Linked DNA regions of Drosophila melanogaster. The protein of the gene in region 2 binds, or shares a complex with, the protein of the main gene of each other region. Each region holds a gene or a part of one and is shown on either strand. Other genes may lie near its edges.

Region 1 (4,080 bases), on a different chromosome or scaffold from region 2:
GCCTGCCGCGATAAGTACTCTAATGCGGAGGCACTGCGGCAGCACAAGCAGCAGGTGGAGGAGAAGCGCGAGTTCAGCTGCGTACGTTGCGGCCGCAAGTTCGTTTTCGAGGGCTTCCTACAGCGCCATCTGCCCACCTGCGATGGCAGCATCAAGCGTCGAAGGGACATGAAGTAGAGGCGGCCACAACGTGATGAGCACTGGCGGCGTCGGCAGCAGCTGGAGCCGGAGCGTGATGAGCAGAAATCGCCGCCGCCAGTGCGTTACGTTGTTATCAAGCAGGAGTACGTAGATTAGGAGCAGTAGGATTAGCTGGAGCACGAGCTAGTTTCTAATGATTCGCCCATGCAAAACTCGGACACTAGCCGCCCGGGCCAGGAGAAAGGAGCAGCTGCTGTTTATCTACACGCAAACATAAGTCCACACCCATATTGTATTTTTTGGGAGCCACAACGGGGGCCACTGTCGTCAAGCGATTCCAAAGGAAAGGGTTTATCTTTTACCTAGTTGTACACAAATCCACACACACAGTTGTTTTTTTTTTTATATGATTTCAGGCCAACTCTGCGGTTTACAATTGAAGATAAAAGCATGTCGACGGATGTCGATCATGGCCCATGTATAGATATATATTACTTACTTATAATTACGACTACTTAATGTTAGAGCTCACGATCACCCGCTATTGTGTAATAACCCGAAACTCCAAATACTGACACACAAAACGAGCGTCAAATCGATGTTGAATTCAATAAAAAATAAAAATAAAATAAATCAAGAATGTTTTTCAATGGCTCAAGATTTCTTCATTGCTATTTTAATAATCCCTATTGAATCATAAGCATTTCGTAGTGTTTTATGTTGTGAATTTATTATTTTTACTAAGCAGCAGATTTTCAATTAGATTTTAATTTGGTGACACAGCCAACTGGGATTCCCCGCTGTTGGTGCCACCAAATCCATCTAATTTGGCCATTTTTGAGCACTGCCCGTGGGCTATATTGCAGCTGGACGGCAACGCCCCCGGTTTGGTAAAAATCTCTGGCTACCTCGGGTGGTCCAGCACAGGATTTGGATTAAACACACACAAAGAGAATCGGTATTTCAGCCAATCTGATCTGACATTATAATTGGTCGATACTTTCTTTTTTTGGCGCTTAGGCGGATGATCTACAAACAAAAAGGTGCGTGCTTAGGCATTAACTAATCCATTAACTAGGCCGATTTAGGACCAGAGCTTCAAGTGGGCACGCTTGGCGTACGACTTCCAGTCGGAGTGGGCGTAGAACTCCTTGAAAATGGGCGTGACCAGGGTATCCTCGGGCAGGGTCTTGAAAACGGGCTCACCATACCAGGTGCCCACCTCCCAGCCGGGCACGTTCTTCATCAGCTCGGCCTCCTCGTCCCGATTGCGTCGCAACTGGCGCAGGAATTCGCGATCCCGCTCGGCGACCAAAATGGGAAAGATGACATTCTGGGCGGAACGCATCTCGATCTCGTCGCGCTTCACCTTCTTGGCGGTCAAGTAGTAGATGCCCAGGCCAACGGCTGTCACAACCACATAGGTGCCGATGGTGGTGAAGCCTGCCGAGGGATTGATATAGTTACCAGCACATATATGGTTAGATCAATGGGATTTGGAGGAGCTCACCTGTGAAGTAGCTCTTCGGTGGCACGCGGGCAAAGGGTATCTTCTTGTAGCCGCCCGGCGGTGGAAGGTCCTGTTTCGGGGGACAATGCGGCACTGCCGTCGCCATGGTGACTCCTCCTGTGGTACAAAGTATATATCAGTCGGCTGTTTGGCCGGTAAACTGGGACTTACGCTCGAATAAAGGGAAAAAATCTGTTGAATTGTCAAAAAAATGACGTTTTTTGCATAACACCAAGGCAGTGTGGCCTGACTTGGGGCAGGGTAAAATACCAAGTAGTGACGAAAATATACCAAAAAGTGGCGAATACTGCAAACGAAGTTGAAAAATATTTTCTAACGTGAAAAGTTGAGTCAATTTATTTGATTTATATTATATTATTATCGAAAGACAATCACAACAACAAGTCACAGTAGAACGTGCAAACGTTTATACGGTATTACAGTATATACAGTATTCCGAACTGTTTGATACCATCCCTATATTTATCGCAATCGCTTTCCTGTCAAAATAAATTTTTGTATCCTACATCACTAGCTTTCACATTCCCAAAAACAAGAGAAAAAGCGAACTAGAAACTTCGAAATATCGTATATATTTACAGCTAAAAGTAGTAATGTTCGTACGCCGTTTCGGAAATGGCTCTTTGGGCCATCATTTTGCCTTTCAACGACGTTATTTGGCTAAAAATTCTATGTGGGACTCGAAGTCCATTGGGACTCCAAGTTCATTCCGAATGCGTTCCAAAAAGGATAACGTGACTGGCAATCTCAAGGAGCAGCAACAATCGGCGACTCCGGAAACCTTGAACATGCCTGATATGCAGGATGCCCAAGTGAGTTTTCTTTTAATATAAATCTCCCTTCATCTGATTTTTCCATAACAGCGAGAAAGGTGACCAAGACCATATGACCATAAACAAATTTTATTTAATATTTGCCAAGATCTGTTTTTCCAAATTTCGTTCAAAAATGAATCAGTTTTTTGGCCACAACTTTAAAAATATTTGTCCAAATATGGAGTTCCATATCTCGTTGAGCTCGTATTTAAATTCCCTATCAAACTGTATCCACAAATGGAAATTCTATTTTTTGACCATTTTTCGCAAATTTTGATGATGTTACCCCTTACAAAAAATGCGAAAAATTACCAAAAAATTAGTTTTTCCAAATCGGTCAAAAAGTGATTGGGATGGTTAGCCTTCGCAATTAGCTGCTCAAAACAGTTATTCTTTTCGCTTTGTGATCACTTTTAGTCAAGTTATGATTAAAATGCCCATCTATAATTTTGTAATTTTTGCAAAAATAATTTTTTTCGATTTTCCGTCATAAAAGAATCAGTTTTTTTTTGCCATAACTTTAAAAATAATTGTCTGAATACGGAATGCAATACCTCGTCGAGCTCGTATTTAAATTCCCTGTCGAACTGTATCAAAAAATAGGAATTCTATTTTTTGGCCAATTTTTGCAAATTTTGATGATGTTACCCCTTACAAAAAAAAAATTGACCCAAAAATTAATTTCCCTAAATCCTTCAAAAAGTGGTAGGAATCCTAGCACTGCGAATTCGCTACTAAAAGTAAAAAAACTACTAAAACTAAGTAATTAAAACTACTAAATTGTAAACTGTACGACAAGTTTTAACAAAGTTATGATGATAAACGTCTTCGTGAATATCGAACTTTTTATTGATCTGTGGCCTTTTTCGGCAAAGCTTTATTATAAAACTTCAGTTGAAATATGATTATTTTTTACAAAAGTCGGTGTTTGATTTTCCCGCAATAAAAAGATATTTCCCTCACACGACAGTATTTATACTCTATAGCAAACAGACAATGTCAGGGAGCGGTTTAAAATGCATGGAAATGGGGGGTGTCGACTGGGATAGCTAATAGACTTTTTTAAAATTGGAATTGAAAACTAGTCTGCACTCGAGCAAATGTCAATTTATATGGATCTTAGTAGAGCAAAAATGCATCCAAAGCATATAACATCTATTTCAATTAAATAAGTTGCGTGGGCGTTTTTTTTCAAGTACCAGAGCAGGCAGCCCACCTTAAGTGTGACCTTTCTGGGGGAGAGCGGAAAACGCCGTTGCGTGGGAATTAGCGGGTGTTCTTTGCGCTCGTGCCGCCCCTTCCCGCAGAAAATGCGATTGGCGCCATTCAGTTGCCGCGCAGCTGCTAGACGAGAGACCCACGAAAAGAACACTTCACTTCCAGAAAAAGGAAAGCAAATTTTTTTCTGTGTGTGTGTTTTTTTCTAGCCAAGGCGAAAGTGTTTTTCTTCTACTCGCAGCCGTACGTAATCGCATTGCCATGTCGCTCTATCGCATTTCCGCACGGAAATTGTCCGAGGCACAGGTGAGTTCTTCATTTTAACTTTTCGAATTACCCCTTTGCTTTTCGACCAGTGTATCGAATTCCCATGCT
Region 2 (3,804 bases):
ATAGCAGTGCCTGTGAAGTGCGTCGTCCGCATAAAAATAAAATTATCTTCAAGATGGCTCCTCGAGAGAAAGTTGAATTTGTGCTGGTGCGCCTGGCCTTTGTTCCTTACATGTAAGCAATTAATATAAATACCCAAGAGATCGCCAGAAACTCATTCATTCCTGTCGCAGAAATCCTCTGTACCCGCGCATCAGCTACCAGATCAGAAAGCACGCTCCCACCGGATCGATTATCCAAGTGCGCGATTGGTTCGAGCATGTGATGATGAGGGAGCGCTCCAAGCTGCCCCCAGATGCTAACATACGCTACGCAGAGTGGCGCATCATCACCGGCGACATGGAGCTGTTTCAGGTGCAGGGCGTCCGCTTCGACAAGATCATGCTGGTGCTGGGCGAAGAAAACATCTCGTGGGTCTTCTATCAGAACACGCCACTTTTCCGCCGTATCGAGGGCAGCGCCTGCTTCCCTGTTAGCTACTGCGGATGCTGCCTGAACAACCAGTACCTGGATATTATGGCCAAAATCAAGCAAACTGTGTCGAGGAAAAAGATACGATGAAATAAATATATCGAGTACTAATGGAAACAAGAGTTTATATTAAGATGAACGCTTTCAAATTTCACTAGGCGCTGGCAGCTGTCTACTCCAGCCAGTGGAAGCGGGAACCGTACTTTGCTGGCGGCTTGGGGTAATCCTCGGGCAAACCGGGGGTGGCATCGGGATAGGAGACCTTCTCCTCCTTCTTGGGTGCTTCCCGAGCTGATTGGATGACCTGAAAACAGAAGTGATTAGGAGAGGTCTAAATAAAGCATGCCGAGAAATTACCTTGGCCCTCGAGAAGTATCCATAGGAGGGACGATCCCAGTCGAAGTTATCTTTGATACACTTGTCGAACACTCCCTGGGTCTTGCGGCAACTAAAGTATGGATGGACATTGGTATAGCATGATTGGAATATTCAACATTTACGGAGTGCTTACTGTGAAAAAGCCATAGTACCGCTGCTCTTATCCAGGCAGGTGGCGTACTGCGTGAACTCCTCATGGCAGGTCTTCTTCACCTTGCGGAAGAAGTCCAGGGCGCAGCTGGTCACGGCTTTGCCCTCCGCCAAACAGGCTCGCGGGTCATCCAGCTCCTGCCGGCACAGCATAAACTCCTGAAATTACACGAAGGAAAAGGTAAACAAACGGGGAAGGTGCTTTTTGAGGTTAGGTTATATAACTAAGCCGCTCGGATTTTAAAGAGGCAGCGGCTCCCAGCTTCACTTTAAGGCGCTTTTCACCTAAGCATTACTATCAGGAGGATTCCCCTGCAATCTGGATGTACTAACATTATTGGCCTGCTCGCATTGCTTGCCCAAATGGAAGGCGCCTGCCCGTAAGGCCGCCGACGATAGATTTAGCTCCTGGACGTTCAGCTCCGACTCCTCGGGCAGTGTTGTGTTGTTGGTGATGACCATAATAGCGTTGCAGTCCTGTGCGATCAACCAAAAACCTGAAAGGCTATGAAATTCAATAAAAAACAAAATAATTGTAGGATTTTGTTAATTTTACGTTTGCTTACAACACAACAGCTGATTTAGATCCAGGGCTGCTGAGACGTAGCTGTCAATAACAATTTATATCGATAGTGTAGCCGTTTCACAAAGTCATCGATAACAGGCTCACAATTTAAATTAAAATGATTTCTTTAATCTTATACATCTGTCTATTTTATAGTGCTGCAGCTGATCGCAATTTAAAAGTAGTTAAGTATGAGAATTCGGTTGACACCATTGTTAAGAACCTCATCGACAACTGGCAGTCGCCGCTAGTTTACCTGAAAAGCCGCGGCTACCTGCCGAAGGATGCGCCCGAAATGGATTTCCAGCAGCTGCAAGGGAACTTGGACCCCAAATTGTCGTTAAACGACTTAGTTGAGCTGAACAAGGATTCCAAGCGGGAGGCGGAAACCAAAAGCCAAGACAATTCCATTGGGCAGATTGATCCGCGGGCAGTCCGATCGCTACAAGATCCCAAGGACCTCGAGCTGAAGAAGATGTTCCAAACGCTGTTCTCTTCGAACGACAAGACTGCCTCCGAGGAGATCAAATCCAAGCTGGGAGTGTCCTGGGATATGAATGCTTTAAAGACATCCGCCCGTTTGGGTGCCAAGAAATATCTCGAGAAGTTCAACAACAAGCGAAATAAGGGGATGTCTCTCTTGCCAATTGAATCCTCAGATGGGACACTTACTAACGAGGCATCTCTAAATTTTTCCTCACTTATACCGCATGCCTTGGAAAAGAAAAGCAACGATTCTGTGAGAAAAACCACTATCAGTAAGCCAAGCTTTCTGAAGGGTGTGGCCAAGATTCTGAGCAATCCAGAAATTAGGTATAGAGACTGGGATTCCAAGCCTGCACAAGAAATCCTTCCGAAGGCCGCGGGCGCATAGTTTTCAAATTCATTGTTGATGATTAAATGTTCTTTTAGTAGCAAAATGGGTTAACAAAATCGCAATCAATTAGTTGGGGGAGGCTGGCCTGCTTCTGGTGCCAGAAGCAGACTCGATTGAGTAGCCGCAAATTTCATATTCATGGCTGTCTGGTTAATCTCAGTCATTTCATTAGCAGATGCGATTGAAACCCGTTTAGTGGGCTAGGCAGCTTCGGAGTATAGTATAAAAGGCCGACGGGCATTGTTTCATTTCAAGAAGCTGCTCCAAAATGCTGAAATATGTGAGTTTAATCGGATTTCAAACAGACTATTGGATAATCAGCCACCTCTCAATTTCAGAGCCTTATCTTTGCCCTTTTCGTCGTTTTGGCCAGCTGCAGTGAGGAGGATCTGCAGGCGCAACTTCTGAAGTCGGAGAACCGCCAGAACCTGGATGGAGCTGGGCAGTTCCAGCATGAGATCACGGTCAGCAATGGGATCCAAGTGAAAGCTCAAGGCAATGTGAACGGCATCCAGGGCGAATACTTCCTTCCCGGCGAAGATGGCAAGCAAATTCGCGTGACTTACACCGCAGATGCAACCGGCTTCCATCCGAAGGTTGAAGAGTGACCGAGTGACTTTGATGTTATGTTAATCTTAACTTATAAAACGGCGGTTTTTTCCATAAAATGAGTGGTGAGGTAATGTCTTGTTGTTCCAATAAAACGTTCCCCTGGTAGAACTCATATTGAGAGCTGTTGGGCTACAGTTCATAGAGCGCTTCAGCATCTTCATCCAAGGGTCTGTCCAATTAGACATTGCGCTTACAGAGCCCCTGAATGGGTCATGTGGAATGATGATGATTTCCTCATCCCACACTGCTGCACAAATAAAAGGTTACCGAACAGCACTCAGCTTTATAATCAATGCCGACAGGCGGCATAAAATACGCATTGTCATCCGCATAATAAGGAACCCAGCGGAAATGGGGCAAAGTGGGGGAACTCACCGGAAGGGAAGCCATTGGGGCTATTGTTAAACGGCAAATTCAAATATGGACTCGCCCATTGTGCGGGGCCATTGGAATATGTTACGGAAATGACAACTTAAATGGGTGCTGCTCCCATTCGGCCCATTCGGCCCATTTCCCATCCGCGTATCCTTGAAAAGCACAATTCTGCATGATGGTTTTATAAATGCAATTGGCTTTATAACAAACAGATATTTAGACAGGAGGGGCTATCTCACAGCTTGGCACTGCCCGCTGGCACTCCGCTCCCGTTGCGCGTGAGTTCCATATCCACCGACGGCTGGTTCACCAATTTCCGGACCACATCGAACTTGGGGTTGTTCTTATCTCGAACCAAGTCGAAGATAACGCTCTCAC

The links.
Region 1: the proteins of ND-19 (region 2) and ND-B16.6 are in contact, whole or in part, in a cryo-EM structure (PDB 8ESZ), measured with the Drosophila melanogaster proteins. Residues at the interface, in NP_001163296.1 of Drosophila melanogaster: Val2, Ile3, Thr4, Asn5, Asn6, Thr7, Thr8, Leu9, Pro10, Glu11, Glu12, Leu15, Asn16, Val17, Gln18, Glu19, Leu20, Leu27, Arg28, Ala31, Phe32, Leu34, Gly35, Asn42, Phe45, Met46, Arg49, Asp54, Pro55, Arg56; in NP_001284943.1 of Drosophila melanogaster: Arg63, Asp64, Ile66, Glu67, Met68, Ser70, Ala71, Asn73, Val74, Ile75, Phe76, Pro77, Ile78, Val80, Ala81, Glu82, Arg83, Asp84, Arg85, Phe87, Leu88, Arg89, Leu91, Arg92, Arg93, Arg95, Val110, Gly111, Val118, Glu124.

Annotation. Positions count from the first base shown.
Region 1 is NC_004354.4:6,348,471-6,352,550, forward strand, and holds ND-B16.6 (NADH dehydrogenase (ubiquinone) B16.6 subunit), read right to left. Parts: upstream 1,932-4,080; 5' UTR 1,823-1,931; intron 1,769-1,822; 5' UTR 1,758-1,768; coding exon 1,652-1,757; intron 1,585-1,651; coding exon 1,226-1,584; 3' UTR 546-1,225; downstream 1-545. Other genes in the region: CG3847 (uncharacterized protein), read left to right, coding at 1-177; kdn (knockdown), read left to right, coding at 2,266-2,484.
Region 2 is NT_033778.4:24,662,206-24,666,009, reverse strand, and holds ND-19 (NADH dehydrogenase (ubiquinone) 19 kDa subunit), read right to left. Parts: upstream 1,613-3,804; 5' UTR 1,564-1,612; exon of another isoform or gene 1,554-1,563; intron 1,503-1,553; exon of another isoform or gene 1,495-1,502; 5' UTR 1,460-1,494; coding exon 1,331-1,459; intron 1,157-1,330; coding exon 981-1,156; intron 918-980; coding exon 827-917; intron 774-826; coding exon 642-773; 3' UTR 571-641; downstream 1-570. Other genes in the region: CG34214 (uncharacterized protein), read left to right, coding at 54-112, 172-559; CG30161 (uncharacterized protein), read left to right, coding at 1,681-2,436; Cpr60D (cuticular protein 60D), read left to right, coding at 2,708-2,719, 2,778-3,047; CG3663 (uncharacterized protein), read right to left, coding at 3,662-3,804.